4 linked regions of the Schizosaccharomyces pombe genome follow. The main gene of each other region encodes a partner of the protein of the gene in region 2 in a complex. Each region holds a gene or a part of one and is shown on either strand. Other genes may lie near its edges.

Region 1 (3,521 bases), on a different chromosome or scaffold from region 2:
TCATTACTTGAATTATATGTACAAGCTGCTCATTGAAGCTGGCGTCGAATTTGAAAAGAAAGAATTGAGTCACATCAAAGAGACTGTCGAAGAAACTCCAGAAGCTTCAGTAGTATTTAATTGCACTGGTCTCTGGGCTTCCAAATTGGGTGGCGTTGAAGACCCGGACGTTTATCCGACTCGTGGACATGTTGTTTTGGTTAAGGCTCCTCATGTAACAGAAACTCGCATTTTGAATGGCAAGAACTCTGATACCTATATTATTCCTCGTCCCTTAAATGGTGGAGTCATTTGCGGCGGTTTCATGCAACCAGGAAACTGGGATCGTGAAATTCACCCTGAAGACACTTTGGATATCCTTAAGAGAACATCGGCTTTGATGCCAGAATTGTTCCACGGCAAGGGTCCGGAGGGTGCTGAAATTATTCAAGAATGTGTCGGATTCCGTCCTTCTCGAAAGGGTGGTGCCCGCGTAGAGCTTGATGTTGTTCCCGGCACCTCAGTCCCCCTTGTTCATGATTACGGTGCTTCTGGCACAGGATACCAAGCTGGTTATGGTATGGCTCTTGACTCTGTCATGTTGGCTCTTCCTAAAATCAAATTGGCTTAGGTTTATTTTTTTATCACGTTTCATATTTTTTAGAGCATTATCTCCCCTCTTTTTATTAGGATAATTGGTCGCTTCATTTGAGGTAGTTTTTATACCAAATTTCGAACCATGTTTTATAGACTTAACGGATTTGTTAAAACGCATTTCAATTCTACGATACACGTGTACAAGTAGTTCATTAGCTTTTGAGAGTTGCTAAATCATGAGGATGAAATAGCATTAGAATGTTGTACATTACCTTTACGTTTTTTGACGATTATTTAAAAAAATTTACATCTTTTGAGAATAATCTGAAAGACTAAAGTGCTTGGCATCCTTAATGCGAGCAAGTAAGGTTCCTTTCCTTCCGTGCCCTTGTTGTAGAAGCATTAAAATAGACTGAGCTTGATTCATATTAACGGTGGCATCTTTGTAGCTTAATTAGTAATTTTTGGGCCTTTAAAGAAGTTTTTCAATCCTCAATCGCAATATCCTAAATTCACCTATCCGCGACCAGCCTACCGTTTGCATACCACAGGTTTTGGGTAACTATCTAAACCAACTGTGAGGGAATTTAATTGTAATAGTTTATTCATTTTATATTATTTTATTTTGCTTTAATCACAATAATTTGATTAATCAGCTGCTTTTCGTCAGCTCATACAAATTACCAAGAGAAAGGAAAGCTTACATCCCATTATGGCTAATAGAAAGATTTTTCTTATTACATCTCTTATAATATCGTTATTGCTTATTCATATCTTCATATTCAGTCCACTGAATGAACCTGAGAAAAATGCAAAGGCAGGACCTTTAGGTCTTTCAGATGTCTCAGTGCCATCTGCTCCTAAATTACCTGCTAAGGATTCAACAGATTTTGAAGTATTTCTTGAAAACCCTGTTATCATTTTTAGTCGTCCTGGATGTCCTTATAGTGCTGCAGCTAAAAAACTTCTAACAGAAACCCTTAGATTGGATCCTCCAGCAGTGGTTGTAGAAGTCACCGACTACGAGCATACTCAAGAGTTAAGAGACTGGCTTTCTTCCATTAGCGATATATCTACAATGCCCAACATCTTCGTTGGTGGTCATAGCATCGGTGGATCTGATTCGGTCCGTGCTCTGTACCAAGAAGAAAAACTTCAGTCTACTTTGGATGAATGGACACATAATAAAGTTTTAATTTTACCTACCGACTAATTTTAATTTTTCAATATATGTTTTGATGCAATTTATTAATTACAATTTATGTTAAATCGATTACCCTTGGAAGTAACTCAATAATTATACTAGCCAAGTATGCTATAGCTTCTTTAAACCACCAACCACTACTCCAAACTATCCAGCTAAGCAACTTAGAGAGTAAAGCATTCATTGCATATATATTTAAAAAATTTGAATGCAATAATATATTCTTATTGTTACATTGGTCAATTTATTTGCATGGCGCAAGCTCCTGAATACCACTATGTAGGTAGTGTAGACTACCAACCGACGAGGCCTTCTGCCCATCAGAATTTAATAGAGCTTTATGGTCTTACGGAACTTGCTAAAAAGGTTGGACGTGTCGATGAATTTGGTAACAAGAGAAAGATGCGTCGTTCGTACAAGGCTTACATCCAAGACTTGCCAGGTTATAATGAAATTCTTCGTGATAATACTATAAAACAATGGCTTACAAACCCTATTCGAGAAGAAGTTCCTATTGACATTGAATTTTTACATCATGTGTTCTCTGTAGAGCCAGGCATTATTCCAGGTTTTAATCCTAAAGTGTTTGGCCTTGAAGACGACGTTGTAATGGGCAATGTTAGTCGTGATTCCTCTCAACCTCGTAGTCCAAGTCGTAGAAAGAAGTAATTGATGAGCCATCAATTGCTCATCAAATCCTAGAAAGCTGTGAAAGTTTGCTTTAAAACTGCAGGTCAAATCCTTAATGCTCTTGCCGAATTTTACTAAACTTGTTGCTTTTACTGAAACTTGTCGATTCTGCTTTCCATTACTCAATGATTGTACTCAGAAGAGCGATAAATATTTGAAGCTCTTTCTGCGGGTTCAGTTATCTGCTGTTTTCAGAGATTTTTCATCGTTTCAAAGCATGGAAACAATACCAAATGATTTAATTACTCTTTAATTTGCGGTCTAGAAAACTTATTTATTACATGGCGTTGTTTCGTTTTTAAAATTCATCTTTGTTTTCTCAGGTTTATTCCTAAGAAGTCGCTTTTAACTTCAATAGTTTAATCTCGGTGATTCTACTAGATTCTCAAGAGACAAATTACTTAAATTCTTTTTCTCATCTACTGTTTAATGTATTCTTAACGTTGTTAACTGAATCATATTAACTTATGTTCTATATGTTGCTAGTTGTTTTATTCATTTTAGTAATACATTTTCAAAGTTATTTTTCTTCATATACATTTCATCGTAAAGAGTATTTTCTAAATAATACCCAATTTTGAGAAGTGTAAAACAATTGTCGAAATAGTAAAAATATGAGTTGATCTACGCAGGACTGTTGCAAAGAACCGCAGCATAAAAAAATGGTATTGGATCATCCAAATTAAACAGATTGTTTCACTTACTGCCCATACATTACAGTCATCAATCGTAAATACCCGACTGGGCTTTAGAGACGTAATTTCAGTATTCATGATTGATGCAAAAAAAATAACTTGTCATACATTTCTATGTCAATTACCATTGCTTGAATTGCATAAAATACACCGTTCGAACCCCATATTTCTTAATTATACAGATTTACACGCTTACAACACGATTGAGGTAAAAAAATCGTACTTTATGAAACAATCGATAGATATAAACCAAAAACAAATTTAATTATTTGCTTTCCCATATCCACACATTCCCCTCTAACATTAGAATATAGAGGAGAAGATCCTTTTGTAATTCCTAAGGACCTCCCTGATAA
Region 2 (3,852 bases):
CATAAATCTTGACCAAAAGCAAAATATTTGTATGACAATTATAAATATGCATGAAAATTTAATTCAAACGCAGTAAAAGCAATTGTCAACCGTAACATTCTTATCATTAGCATAAATGAGAGAAAAAGACAGACAAGTCAGAGATGGGAATAGTAGAGACCTTATTAAAGTAAAAAGTTAAAAAGGAAAATCATTACATGAAATCGATACCCGCGCCGAATTGCAGGCCTTTACGACCGATATCCTTTTCGGTAGTAGCGATTGGTAAGGTAAAGTTCAGCTCGAAACGCGCAGCGGGAGTTGCATAGACTAAACCTAAGCCTGTAGAGATACAAGGCTTAGAAAGTATTGATTTGTATGTGCCACATGGATTTGGAGAAGTCAAATTCGATAGCCCTCCAGCATTCGCAAACAACTGTAAGCGAAATGGTTTAGAAGCATCAACTTTTGGCAAAGGGAATAGCAAGCTCATGGAGAAAGCCATATATGCGGTCCCGCCTAAAGAATCCCTGCCATCTTTTGGACCTATACGGTCTTCTGAAAAACCACGAAGGCTAGTTGAACCGCCTAACATGAAACGATCACACAGACTGACTTGCTTCTTATTTAGACTATGCAATGCTCCAATCCGGGCGGACAAAGAAAGAGAAACAGACCTAGAAGAATTTAAAGCCACAGCTTTTTGACCCCAGAATTCTGATTTTAGAAAGCTCGCATCTCCTGGAAGAAATCCGAACCCAGCGAGCTCTAAAGTCTGCCTCACATAATCTCCCTTCGTGGGTATCATAAGATGATCGCGTGTATCGCGTGTATACGTATAGGAAAGAGATTGTTTTAATGAATCACCGGCCTCAAGTCGTACGCTTGGAGAAGCATATTCAGTGAGATGAGTAACTTGCCTCCACAATAAGTTTTGTGAAAGTAAATGCTCGCCAGACCACAGATCTTGATGCTGCAATGAAAGCGTAATTCCTTTAGTAAGTAAGTCATGGCTCGAAATAGATTTATTGTCTCTCAAGTTACTGTGGCCATTGAATCGTAAACGGGTTTTAGGATCTGCGTTTACTGGGGTCTCAAAGTTCACGGACATGGTAGACCGATTACGAGTTCCATATGAAACGTTACCAGAAAGAAGTTCAGCTCCTCCAAAAACATTTCTTGCAAGAACATTAGCATGTACATTGCCTTCAACGTTACCAACATCAGTGCCGGTTTCTACATATAAACGTGGTTTCTCTTTTACTTGAATGGTAACATCAAGATCATCATCTCCAGAAACAGAAGAGCTAGCACGATCTATTTTAATATTGGCAGTTTCATAAACGTTGAATGCCATCAAATTCCCAGTAGTTTCTTGAATAGCATTTAATGTTTCAAGCAAAGATCGACTTTTGGCCGGTTTCGACGTATCCAAACATGTTTTCAATACTTTGCGAATGAAACTTGGCCTAGTATGATGTGCACCAGTAACTCGAATGGAAGAAATACCCACTGGCAAAGTGCTATTTTCTGCCAACTGATTGATGATGGTTAGTATAAATTATGGTGAATTAAAAAAAAAATAGAGACGAAAATTAGATAATAAAACTTAACTTACAATTTCAGAAAGGCTCTTAAATGTTTCCTCAGCTGAAAGTTTGCTTTCTTCGTTCACGGCGGGAATGTCAGATGGAAAAGAAGTTGACTCAAATTGTTCGGTCATATTTTCAAATTTCCTATATTTTGAATATAATAACAATCTTCTTTCTCAATAGCACTGGGGTTGAATTATTTTTTAAAGGTTTTTAGATGAATGTAAGTTCGTTAATGACAGCCGACATCTTACCATCTACTATTTGGATGTGCCGATTTTTGAATTCTCTCCATTTACCATCAATATTTATTTAATATACGCATTGTTAATTTTTTTTTCATAATTATTTTAAGTTTGTTAAGGCTACCAGAAATGTCATTAGAAGAGCAGCGTACAAGAGATGAATTAAAGCACAAGCTATTGGATTTAAATCAGCTTCACGAACAGGTTTGTCTAATTTCAGAAGACATTTTATTAATTTTAGCTTGCTGAATTAAGAACTATTTGTCCATCCCTTTTAAAATTATTACATCCTGAAACCGGCACAAGTAAGTAATTGTTTAAATAACTAAATTCTTTAAGAAAAACGAGTTAAAGTTTACACTAAGGGAAAATGATATGATGATTATCTTTCATATTAAATTTAAATTTTGCTCGAGTACTAATTAATTAGGTCGGAAATTTGAGAAAAGTGCTCAAGAAGCGATTGAAAAAGTAAATTCCTTTTATACACATCTTAAATCCAGTCAAAGTATGCATGCAAATTATTTTTAGCTTAAATTTTTGCTAATTAACAGACGTTTTTGATTATGCTGAAAAGTCTTTACAAGCCGATTCCTCTAATTTGCTCCCTACTTATTTATACAATTCAGAAGATTTGTCTAATGATACCGAAAATAATGAAACAAAATCCATTAATGGGAAGTCTGCATTAGACTTAAAGGAGCCGCATCACAGTGAATTGCATGATAATGACAATTTCCAAAATTCGGATATAAACATAGAGTCTTTTAAAGGTGATATTGAGGCTTCAGGGTCTATTCTTACAACGCATGAAAACAAGTCTTTCACTTTGAAACTAGCAAACGAGCTAGAGTTTATTTTCTTTCATGATACTAGGGGGAAATTTAGTGTTTATTGTTCATCTAGCAAAGACGATGCTATTACTTTTTCAATTAACCGTAACAACAACTTCCTTGGAAATTTATGGTCTCTTATGGTATGTGTTTTTGAGGTTGTTAGACAAAACCTCTGCTAACCGTGTGTAGCCTAAAATACTTGATTATCAGCATCTTTATTCTAAGCCGTGTGACTTTTGTAAAAGTCTCATTTCTCCTGTGTACCTGGAGCTTCCTTCTGTTCGAAGAAACGCAAACTCAACAGTGAAGCCTACTTCTAAAGATATATTAGCGTTACATGCAGAATGCGTGCCGGCTCAGTCAGATTTGTGAAACACTAATTTTGATATTCAAATGAAATAAGACGTTCATAATTGCCATTTTTGCTTCGTTTTGAGCTTGAGTTACAATTATCACTTTCAAAGAAGTGCATTTCAATCACATGCAGATGTTGGAATAAACTCAATGTCTTCTGACTCCTTGATATTTATAATTTCCAAATCTTGTTGGACTACTCAAGCCTGTTCTACAAACTTCAAATACCTTAATATATCATGGTTTTGTATACTAAAAATTCAAAAGTACTACTCTTTTAGTGATATAGATACTGTAAATTGGGCTATGCGTAACTCAATGAATGAAATTAAAATTTTCCAAAGCATTTCTCAATTACAATGTAGAGAATGTATTACCTTATACTATAAAGTCCATTTCCCGTTAACCCTGATAAATGATGGATTCATCCATAGCAAAACAATCAAAACAAACCAAAAGATGAAAGACTTAAATTACAGATTCAAATCCGATTACTTTACGAACTAGTTTTTGAGTTAGAATCTTTTTGACCCCCATCATTATCATGGTCATGCTCTTCAAGTAATTCGAAAGAATTAGCAGAAGTAACCGCGACGTTAGATGGTGGTGCACGAACAGACTGTTCCCTTCTTAAGGCACTGTTTTGACGAGAAGGCGTTCTACTAACGCTTCCACCTTTAAGCATTGAACTCAAACTTGTGGGACCGTGAGAACCCTGAGTACCAGATTTGAGACCTCTTATACCTTGTCCAAGTCTAGCATAACCATCTTTGTTATTAGACCAATCACTAGAGCTAAATGGTGGATTGCTTCCTCGACCGCCCATCCGAGAATCACCACGATTCA
Region 3 (5,653 bases), on a different chromosome or scaffold from region 2:
GCTTTTAATTTTTTCTGATAAATACTTTAATCTTAAAATAAATGAATTCAAGCAACTACAAATAATCGATACCAAATCGACAAGTCCTTTCTACGTAGTCCGATAACACAAAGTAATGTTTTCAAAAGAAAAAGGAATTAAAAATTGAAGATTTCAAGACAAATGATTGAAGGAACACTCACTTTTCCTACTAGTATATCTTCTGGTGGTATTGTTTACATTTGGTAGAAGAAGACCTTGCAATTGTTAGTGTGAATGCGATGAATAGCAAACTGCCTTCCACATCACAACCACAACAAGAAACTTAAAAGGAATTCAATTTTTGAAAAGACGGTATCTAAAGAAAATCATATACCAATGAATAACATAACGAAATTAATGAAACAAAAGAATATTTTGACACCTCCTTTGCCTCTGTACCGAAGGGTGTTGAGAGCGCATCGCTATCACCTAGGAGCAGAAGAACGAGCTTTAGGAGATGAATATGTAAAGGCGGAATTTCGAAGACATCGGAACGTAACAAATCCTTTGCATTTAGTAGGATTTTTAAGCTCGTGGGAGAGGTATGCGGATGCACTAGAAAACGAGAGCTGGAAACAGGAAAAATACAGTAATACGGATCTACTAGAATCTTTAAATGACCAGCAAATCGGACAGGTAAGAAAACTTATATTAGATTGAGGTTTATTATTAAAAGAAGAGAACTTTTACCAGTGCTCTTGAACTTATTGCTTCTTTTTTTGGACCTATAGTTTCTAACTATTATTGGCAGTTGTACGAGCTCTCAAAAGCTCTTCAGGAACAGAAAAAGTCTGAGTAGTGGTCGCGGAATCTGATTCTTTATCAGACATCTCTTTGTTATTAGAAGGATTTTGATTGTTTGAGTTGTCGTCATTTTTATTGGCACTTTGAGACGACATCTGCAAATCGTTATTAACTCGAGCATGTGCAAGCTCAACCAAAAACCTATAAAGTTGTTAATGAATGATCTGGACTACTCGTAAAAAAGTGAACGAGATGTTCAACTTCCTCATGGATAAACGTACCATGTTAGCGACAGCCACAAACAGATTGCCAGGAAAAATAAGATGAGACAATGAATACTTTTTGTACCTATATAAAGTCCAAGAAAAACAGCGACAAGTGCACCACAGGCTACGTGTGCTGACTTAGCCAATACAGGTGTGACACCTGGTGTGAAAATTGATTCCCATAGTTCCACCCAATACGACATGATCTTTTTCTTATTGGAATACTACTTGGAAATGTAGTAGCTATGAATTGACGTTGTTAAACCACCGTTTGTGTTCTAGCGATAAAATCTGGCCTTTATAGTGTGCGTGTGCTATTGAATTAATTTAGCAACGAGACCGATGTTGGAGTTCATTAAAAGTTAAAATGGATTTCAAGAAATCCATATCTTATACTACTATTAAAACCGAAGGTTATGCTTCCATTTGTCCAAATTTATTGTTAATAGAGCTTTGAATCATTCAAATGGAATAGTGCTCTACTTTTGTTTTGCTATATTAAAAATTTTTTGTCAGCTTCTTGTGGTCGTGGAGAAAATAATTAAATGATCAAAACAAATGTTATTTTTCGGCTTAGCTCTTCTAAATTACTGTTTTATTATCATTTTAATGAGACACGCTGAAGCTCTGATTAAAATTGATAGCAAAGTTTGAACAGCTTTAATGATGATTTTCGTTCAGTTTAAAGAAGGGGCTTTTTAACTACTATAGAATTACGAGAATCTTTTTGAACGGTTCCATCTCATTTGTTATTCTTCATTATCCATAGTTTCAAACTATGTTTTATGCGATTATCGCATAACAGGGCATGTTTATACTAGCTCAAATTTATTCAAAATCTCCCATTTTAGTAATATCATTGATCAATTATTATTTAATTCCATTTAAAATTGCTTATTTATTGATTATTCCAATTTTTTGAATGAATAAACCTAAGGCGTTTTAACAATCTCAGTGAATGGCGTAACGAAGGTTATCGAAGAGTTTCACGGGAGCTGTGTGAAGTTGCTTTTGGCACGCTACTCGAAGATTTCTGTAAAAGAGATATAAAGAATCCTTTTTAAGGGTTTTTAAAAGAACAAAACTTATGTTTATTACGAAATTTAGTTTTGGTAAAGGATCGGCTAATTAAAGGCGCTATTACACGAAATTCCTAACTCCTCCAATTGAGGATGGAACCGCCTGCGATTCCACACATTACAGAAGGATTTTATCCTCTTCCTGAGATAGTAGAAACTTTTAGTCATCATGTGTTACAAGAATTGGTGTCTTTAGCCGAAGTTCTACCCTCTATGTCAAATGTCGAGAAAAAGAAAAAGATCTTAGATTGGTTATTACGTTCGCGCGCTTTCACTATGCGTTTGCTAGTTTTAGCGCGTTGGGTACATCTATCTCCTTCAGTTCATCGATGCATAGATGTTGTAGCCTTTCTTCAAGGTCAAAAATTTTGCTTCCAGAATTTAGTTCATGTGTTACAAGATATTCGTTACCAGTTGTCATTTGCACGTCTACGCAACTCAGATTTAGTTACTGCATTAGATATTTTGTCAACTGGCACGAGTCTTCGTCTAGCAAATGCTCCCACTTCAAAATTATACATGCTATCTGAATCACCGCTAAGTACCAAACAAATACTTCAAACCCTTCATGCTCTTAACATGCTTATTAGAATTCGTCTTAGTCTTTATGAAATTATTCCGACACCATTTCAACATTTCACAATTGCTAATGGTCGTTGCACATTTACTGTTCCCAATGAGTTTTCAGTGTCTTTGACAACCAATTCCCAAGATCCTAAATCTACCGGTATTTCATTCCAGTGGATTGTTGTTGACTTTCAATTTCATCTTCCTGATTTTTCTTCTACTCCCGCAAAATATCGGGTTTTTATAGAATTGCATCTCAATGAAGAAATCGCTGCTGCATTCGTTCTACAAAAGCCCATCCTACCTTTAATATATAATATCCTTCATAAATTTTGTTTATATCAGCGCCTTAATTTATTGTCACAACAAACTTTTCAACTATCCAGAGAAAGTTGGTTAGGGCATTTGCGCGGTGTCTATGATGAAAAGCCCCCACGGCTACGTCTATACTATTGGCCCCAATTAAATGTGAAAAAAGAAGGAAAACCCGGAAAAATTGGTCATTATATTCATATATTTGTAAATACTCAACCCATATCCGCCTTTGAGCGTACCCTTAGCTCTAAGAGATCCAGTTGTGAATATGATCATTTTTTATTACTCGTTGAATGGCACCATGATGGCATTGTTGAACATGTACCATTAGATGATCATATGGATGCTCAGCATCTACTATTATTAATTACCCAAAAACACGCTCAACTTATTCTGGAACAAATCCGTAAGGAGCTTCACCCAAATATATTTAGTGAACATGTTGGTGGTGGTCTAAAAATTCATGTCTTTGATAATGAAATAATTGTCAAGGTGAACAGCGTTACCGGCAGGCTCGTGCTGTCGAGTTCGGCTTCACCTTTATCACCTCCCAGGCATCTTCGTGCTGCTGAAAAAAATATTGCTTTGAATACGCAACCTCCCGCCCAAATCTTGAATCGGTTGTATTTCTTTTGTATACAAACGCAGCTATTAGAAGTTGCCCAGTGTGCTGAGTTGCATGCAGTTCAAGGTTACTATTCTTTCCCTTATCTTACATTCTCCAAAGGTAAATGGAGAAAAGATGGCGATTCCCTATGGGTACTCGCGTACAACGTTGAATCCAACTCTTGGTCTGTTAGATTGTTGAACGCTGCGGGTCAAACTCTCTACACCCAAGATGTTCATACTACAAAAGGTACTTTAAGTATTGAAAGTTTTAGCCGTCTTTCGTACCTATTGGAAGTCCAAATACTTTTATTCAATGTTCAAACTGCTTGCCAAGCTCGTGGTATGCCTTTTGAATATTTGCCTATTCCACCAAAAGCCCTAATTGAAGATGACTTTACTACATACGTCCAAACAGGATGCTTATGTATTATGATGCCATCGTCTAATGAAGATATGCTTCCTGTGGTTTTCGTTCGCGCGCATGACGGGCAGTTAATTTTTGACTCCCGAATAAAAGGAAAATTGCCGTATCAGTCTGAGACTGAAACTGAAAAGAACTGCTACATAGATTGGAGAACCGGTCGTATTACCATTCGTGTGCAAAATTTTTCATCTTTCGAAAAAACATGGATTGGATTACTTAAACTTGTTGCTTTGTCTAAAACATCTGCATTCAATGTAGATTGTATCACGTTAAAGCATGTGGACTTTACATATCTCGATGATGAGAAATTTAGGGCTACAATTCATGACGACAACACTTTTACCCTTCATTTTTTTAATCGACATAGTCCGTTTCATCTAATTTCTCAGTTTTTGCAGGATACATTTTCTGATGGGCCCTCAGCTATTCAACCATTACGCGTAATTATGGATAGAACGAGAGGTGTTTTAGTAGCTCAAGAATTGGGCTACGTTGTTTTGGCTCGATCTCTGCGTCAGTACAGAATTATCCTATCCAAAAATCATGGCATTCAAGTTCTTTTAAATCGCCATGGATGTATACTCCAAGATTTATCCTACTTATCTGCCGATTCCCGATACTTGGAAGGAACTCAGACTTTGACGTCTCAATGGGAACCTTGTTCATGGCTTAATACTGTTTGGGAAGGTGACTTGGGTGATGATGAGCTTAATGGTCAGATTGAGGCCGCTCCCGAGATGCACTTAATAAAGATGAACAAAACGGCTGATTTAACAGCCATTCTAAAAAGAATTTTAGCGATCTCTCGAAAAAAATGAACTCATATTAAGCTTTTAATCCTCACCCCCTCCACCGTCCATTCCTTTCGGTGGCAGTGATTAGTGATTGTATATATAAATACGGCAAAAAATGTCTGGTTAATGAGGTAAATGAAAATCGTTTTCTAAAGTATACAAGTGAATGTTACATTGATGATACATGTGATTTATATAATCCAACGTGTAAATTAGAGATCGTCGAATTAACGCTTAATCATTTATGAATAAGCAAAAAACTTCCGTAGGTAAAATGAATTTCTATTATAATCGCCATAATCCCAAGTTTATTCAAAGCTGTGTTCTTTTAAGCTAATAAATTTTATATTGAATCTTTAAGTACCGCTGGCATCAACATACGTTGATCACCACTAGCAGTTGCAGTTCTTAAAGCTTCTCGTAAAGCCATAGTAGCGTAAGCAGAAGATGGAAGTACAAATTTTAACGTAACAGCGGTGTGCTTACCAACCTCAGAACTCACTGAAATAGAACGGTTCTCCAATCTATCCTTATCCGTCAAAATCAGTTGTTGTTCCATATTGTCATACTTTATGAAATTAAACTCCATATTTTCAGGACGCACCAAAAGTTTTCGATAATCACCAGGTAATGAAAGTTCTCTGTCTTTGCGAGACATATTTAATGGATCAAGTGATGCCTCATTCATGACAGACTTGTATATATCGAAAGTTTCATTTTTTGGGTATATTACATTACGACCAGGTAAAGGAAGTACTATGTCGTAAATACTAAAGTTATTGACTTCGTCCTCTTCAATCGGACGAGCTGATAATTTTGAGCTCACAGGTAAAT
Region 4 (3,317 bases), 2.1 Mb from region 2:
ATTATGTGGGAAAGAAGACATAAAACAGAATCATTGATTCAGTTCCATAAGCGACAGAATAGTAGATACCAAAAAGTAAGATAAAGCCATATTTATAGATCGGGTCTACTATTGAGAACACGAACTATACATCCTATACCGGATATTTCCACCACCTACAAAACCGTATTAGTGACCGAATAAAAATGTAAAGCATGAGATAAGCAATGCTAGAGCGTTGGGAAAAGCAATAAACTAAAAGTTACCTTTTCGTGCCAATTAAGTAATACAGACGAGTTGTAGGCTTGAGGATTCGCCAATCCACGATAAATGAAGTTTACAATATTATCAATTTCCTCCGTTGAACATTCTTTTACAAATGCGGGAATGTCAGCAGCTCGTATATTGCTTAATACATCAACAAAAGCATTCAAATATTGAGTCTAAAAAAGTTAAAATTCATTTACACCATAATAAAATGAAATCAAGAAGAATTGTAAATTTAATCAATAAATAAAAACGTAATTGATATAAACCGTCTTTAAGCAGTTTGTACAGTTTGCACATACCCTAACTTCTTGAACATCATTTCCATAAGGAACATATGAGAGTAAGGTTTTCAAACCTTGTAAGGCATTTCCTCTATTTTAATTAATAAAAAAATTGCTTCTTTTAAATAAACATACGTTTGAATGGCAGACCGGGCTTGAGGAATGAGTTGAGAGACGGCTGCTTGGACTTGCTCCGCCGTTTCGTTACGAATTGGAAATATATCTTGCTCTGTTAAAACAGGTTCTGTGATGGAGTCGACATCCAAAGTCCGAAACGTCATTTTATAACTCTATAACTGGTAAGGTAAAGAAAACGATGGAACAGGTTAAGTTTCAGCTGTGTGTAGCTCTAAAGAGGCATCATACAACGGTCGAACGCAAGTCTGTAACTGAAGTTATTATAATTCATAGAGTATATTAATTTAACCAATAAGTTAAGAAAATTCAAAAAAATATATTTATATTTTTTTAATCTTATAACTTTAACTTATAATTTTTGAGCGGAGCTATATAAGTCTGGTAACAGCATTACTAACTTCTTCAGTACTCCATAGACCTCTTTTGTGGATGTTTATTTTTTTTTATTTGTAAATAATCATCTCTACCTTTGGTCTTAGATGTAAAGTTCTGAATAACTTGTAGACAGAAATTGGTTACATATTTTACATTTCTGCCTATGGTGATTCAGAAGAAAATATGTTAGATACAGCCTAGTAATTAGTTGAATAAAGATTAAAAGTAATTTTTTTTTTGCTTCTATCTATTTTCAGTATGTATATTGATGTATGAGTTTATACTTCTATTCGAACAATAACTTTTAAGACTTATTTTGCTGACAGAACTATGTAGTTTCTTGTGTAAAGTTCAAAGTAAAACGAAGAGACACATATGTAACATCCTGGGATTAACAGATTTTTAATTAGTGCTCAAACCAGCCAGTTACATTGTTACGTAGTATTTGACTCTCCAGAAGTTAATTATGAATGTAATTCAGTTAACTTAATTCTCTTCAAGCTTTTAACAATTTGCTCTGGGATTATCATACCCAAAAGCCATATACTTTGCGACTTGGAAAATAATAAAAATGACAAGAGATAAATTAATAAAATTTGAGCTCATATTATGTCTATCTGCTTTTTTTTTTTAATACAGGAACAATGAAAATGAAGGTTTTAAATTAGCCTGTTAGCAATTCTTGCAACCGCCGTACGCATTAAACTCTTCACATCAACATTACAGTAGAAGTAAAAGAACTAATTCGGCCATTTTTCTCAATAATTCGGTATAAACCGATATTCAGATGCATAATTAATTACCATTCATCTTTGTTATAAAATATGCCTGTTCACGGGTAAAAAGCATACCGATTGACTATTTTGCTGATTGATTATAGAGTTATTTATTATTCATCGCCTTCAATGGCGACGTTCCTTTCTCCAGCACAGGATAATCTGGTTAGGACCTACTTTGCACAACATTTAAGTAAGCTGACACTGGTTTGGATTTTATTTCTTATGATTGATGATTTCAAGATCTAACTTTGAATTTCAGAAAAATGGGTAGTTCAGTATAAACTTTACAGAAATGCTGTCACTCCAAAAACTTTAGAATTTTTGAAGCAAAACATTAATCCCAGCATGCTGGCGTGTGTGGATGAAGCGACAATGATTGATGCAGAACCTGAACTTGAGGACATCATTGTGCGAACGAAATTATGGAATTTTCGGCAGTCCTTTACTATTGAAGGTTCAATATATGAAGTAGGGAGCTTTAAAGTGGCTATTGCCAACGTTTTACAAAAGTCCGTTTGGAAGGGTATACTTTTTCATGTAACTTACGATGGTACTGAGTCCGTCGATCTCGCACGCCCTATTATTCAAGAATTCTTTCTTAAATGCTTTTTACAAAATAATAAATCGGTAACCCCTGTCTATGAAAGCTTCTTTAACCAGCCTCGTCATTCTTTGGATTCAAAACTTCTACTACAGTTGTTTAAACAACGCATTGATACCGTTTCACAACGCACATAGAATAAAAAAGTATCAATTTAAATTTTTTCTGTAAATAAATTTCTATCTAACTAACTGTCAAAGTCTTGCTTTATTGTCAGCAGAAAGTTATGGCTCCCTTTCACATTTACAGATACCAATTATGTTTAATAATAAAATAGAAATGCAGGAGTTTGAATAACAACCCATTTTAAACTCGATGCATTTCACTGTACTCCAAAAAGTAATTATTCATTCAAAATTATTCAAATAAACTCTAGATGAGATTATGGAATCAGCATTAAAAGCTTATTAATCAACCTTTACTACCAAAACATTAAACGTCTAAGTTTCCAAAATACTATGCGCGCTTATAAAAGCATTGAATATGCTTTACTCTAAGGAATCTGTAACAGCACCCTTGGAGGCAGTGCTAACGTTGCGAGCATATTTTAAAAGGGTTCCTTGTTGGTACTTCAAAGGAGGTGCCTTCCAAACACTGCGGCGTCTCGCCATCTCCTTCTCATCAACCATCAAATCTAAAGTGTTCTTTACAGCATTGATTTCAATGACATCGCCGTCCTGAACAAGAGCAATAGGGCCTCCAACTTGTGCTTCGGGATCAACGTGTCCAATCAAAAATCCGTGAGAGCCACCACTGAAACGACCGTCAGTCAAAAGTGCAACATCCTTTCCAAGACCAGCTCCCATAATAGCACTTGAAGGCTTTAACATTTCCGGCATACCAGGTCCACCTTTTGGTCCCTCAAAACGAATAATGACGACAGTCTTCTCGCCC

The links.
Region 1: pmc3 (region 2) and rox3 share a complex: the UniProt entries of both Schizosaccharomyces pombe proteins name them as parts of the mediator complex.
Region 3: pmc3 (region 2) and med14 share a complex: the UniProt entries of both Schizosaccharomyces pombe proteins name them as parts of the mediator complex.
Region 4: pmc3 (region 2) and med20 share a complex: the UniProt entries of both Schizosaccharomyces pombe proteins name them as parts of the mediator complex.

The regions. Positions count from the first base shown.
Region 1 is NC_003421.2:1,733,695-1,737,215, reverse strand, and holds rox3 (mediator complex subunit Med19), read left to right. Parts: upstream 1-1,903; 5' UTR 1,904-2,032; coding exon 2,033-2,449; 3' UTR 2,450-2,956; downstream 2,957-3,521. Other genes in the region: dao1 (D-amino acid oxidase), read left to right, coding at 1-610; CIA machinery monothiol glutaredoxin Grx3, read left to right, coding at 1,289-1,789. UniProt on the Schizosaccharomyces pombe protein: Component of the Mediator complex, a coactivator involved in the regulated transcription of nearly all RNA polymerase II-dependent genes.
Region 2 is NC_003424.3:4,488,591-4,492,442, forward strand, and holds pmc3 (mediator complex subunit Med27), read left to right. Parts: upstream 1-1,815; 5' UTR 1,816-1,945; coding exon 1,946-2,020; intron 2,021-2,057; coding exon 2,058-2,121; intron 2,122-2,246; coding exon 2,247-2,324; intron 2,325-2,370; coding exon 2,371-2,792; intron 2,793-2,841; coding exon 2,842-3,024; 3' UTR 3,025-3,352; downstream 3,353-3,852. Other genes in the region: sorting and assembly machinery complex subunit Sam50, read right to left, coding at 194-1,516, 1,598-1,702; tif471 (translation initiation factor eIF4G), read right to left, coding at 3,503-3,852. UniProt on the Schizosaccharomyces pombe protein: Component of the Mediator complex, a coactivator involved in the regulated transcription of nearly all RNA polymerase II-dependent genes.
Region 3 is NC_003423.3:1,995,479-2,001,131, reverse strand, and holds med14 (mediator complex subunit Med14), read left to right. Parts: upstream 1-2,038; 5' UTR 2,039-2,203; coding exon 2,204-4,843; 3' UTR 4,844-5,126; downstream 5,127-5,653. Other genes in the region: sdh7 (ACN9 family protein), read left to right, coding at 358-657, 773-820; V-ATPase assembly factor Pkr1, read right to left, coding at 756-966, 1,047-1,234; pus7 (pseudouridine synthase), read right to left, coding at 5,163-5,653. UniProt on the Schizosaccharomyces pombe protein: Component of the Mediator complex, a coactivator involved in the regulated transcription of nearly all RNA polymerase II-dependent genes.
Region 4 is NC_003424.3:2,348,460-2,351,776, forward strand, and holds med20 (mediator complex subunit Med20), read left to right. Parts: upstream 1-1,733; 5' UTR 1,734-1,867; coding exon 1,868-1,881; intron 1,882-1,923; coding exon 1,924-2,012; intron 2,013-2,081; coding exon 2,082-2,560; 3' UTR 2,561-2,785; downstream 2,786-3,317. Other genes in the region: ARP2/3 actin-organizing complex subunit Arc5, read right to left, coding at 93-155, 246-422, 549-621, 666-811; ilv3 (dihydroxy-acid dehydratase), read right to left, coding at 2,912-3,317. UniProt on the Schizosaccharomyces pombe protein: Component of the Mediator complex, a coactivator involved in the regulated transcription of nearly all RNA polymerase II-dependent genes.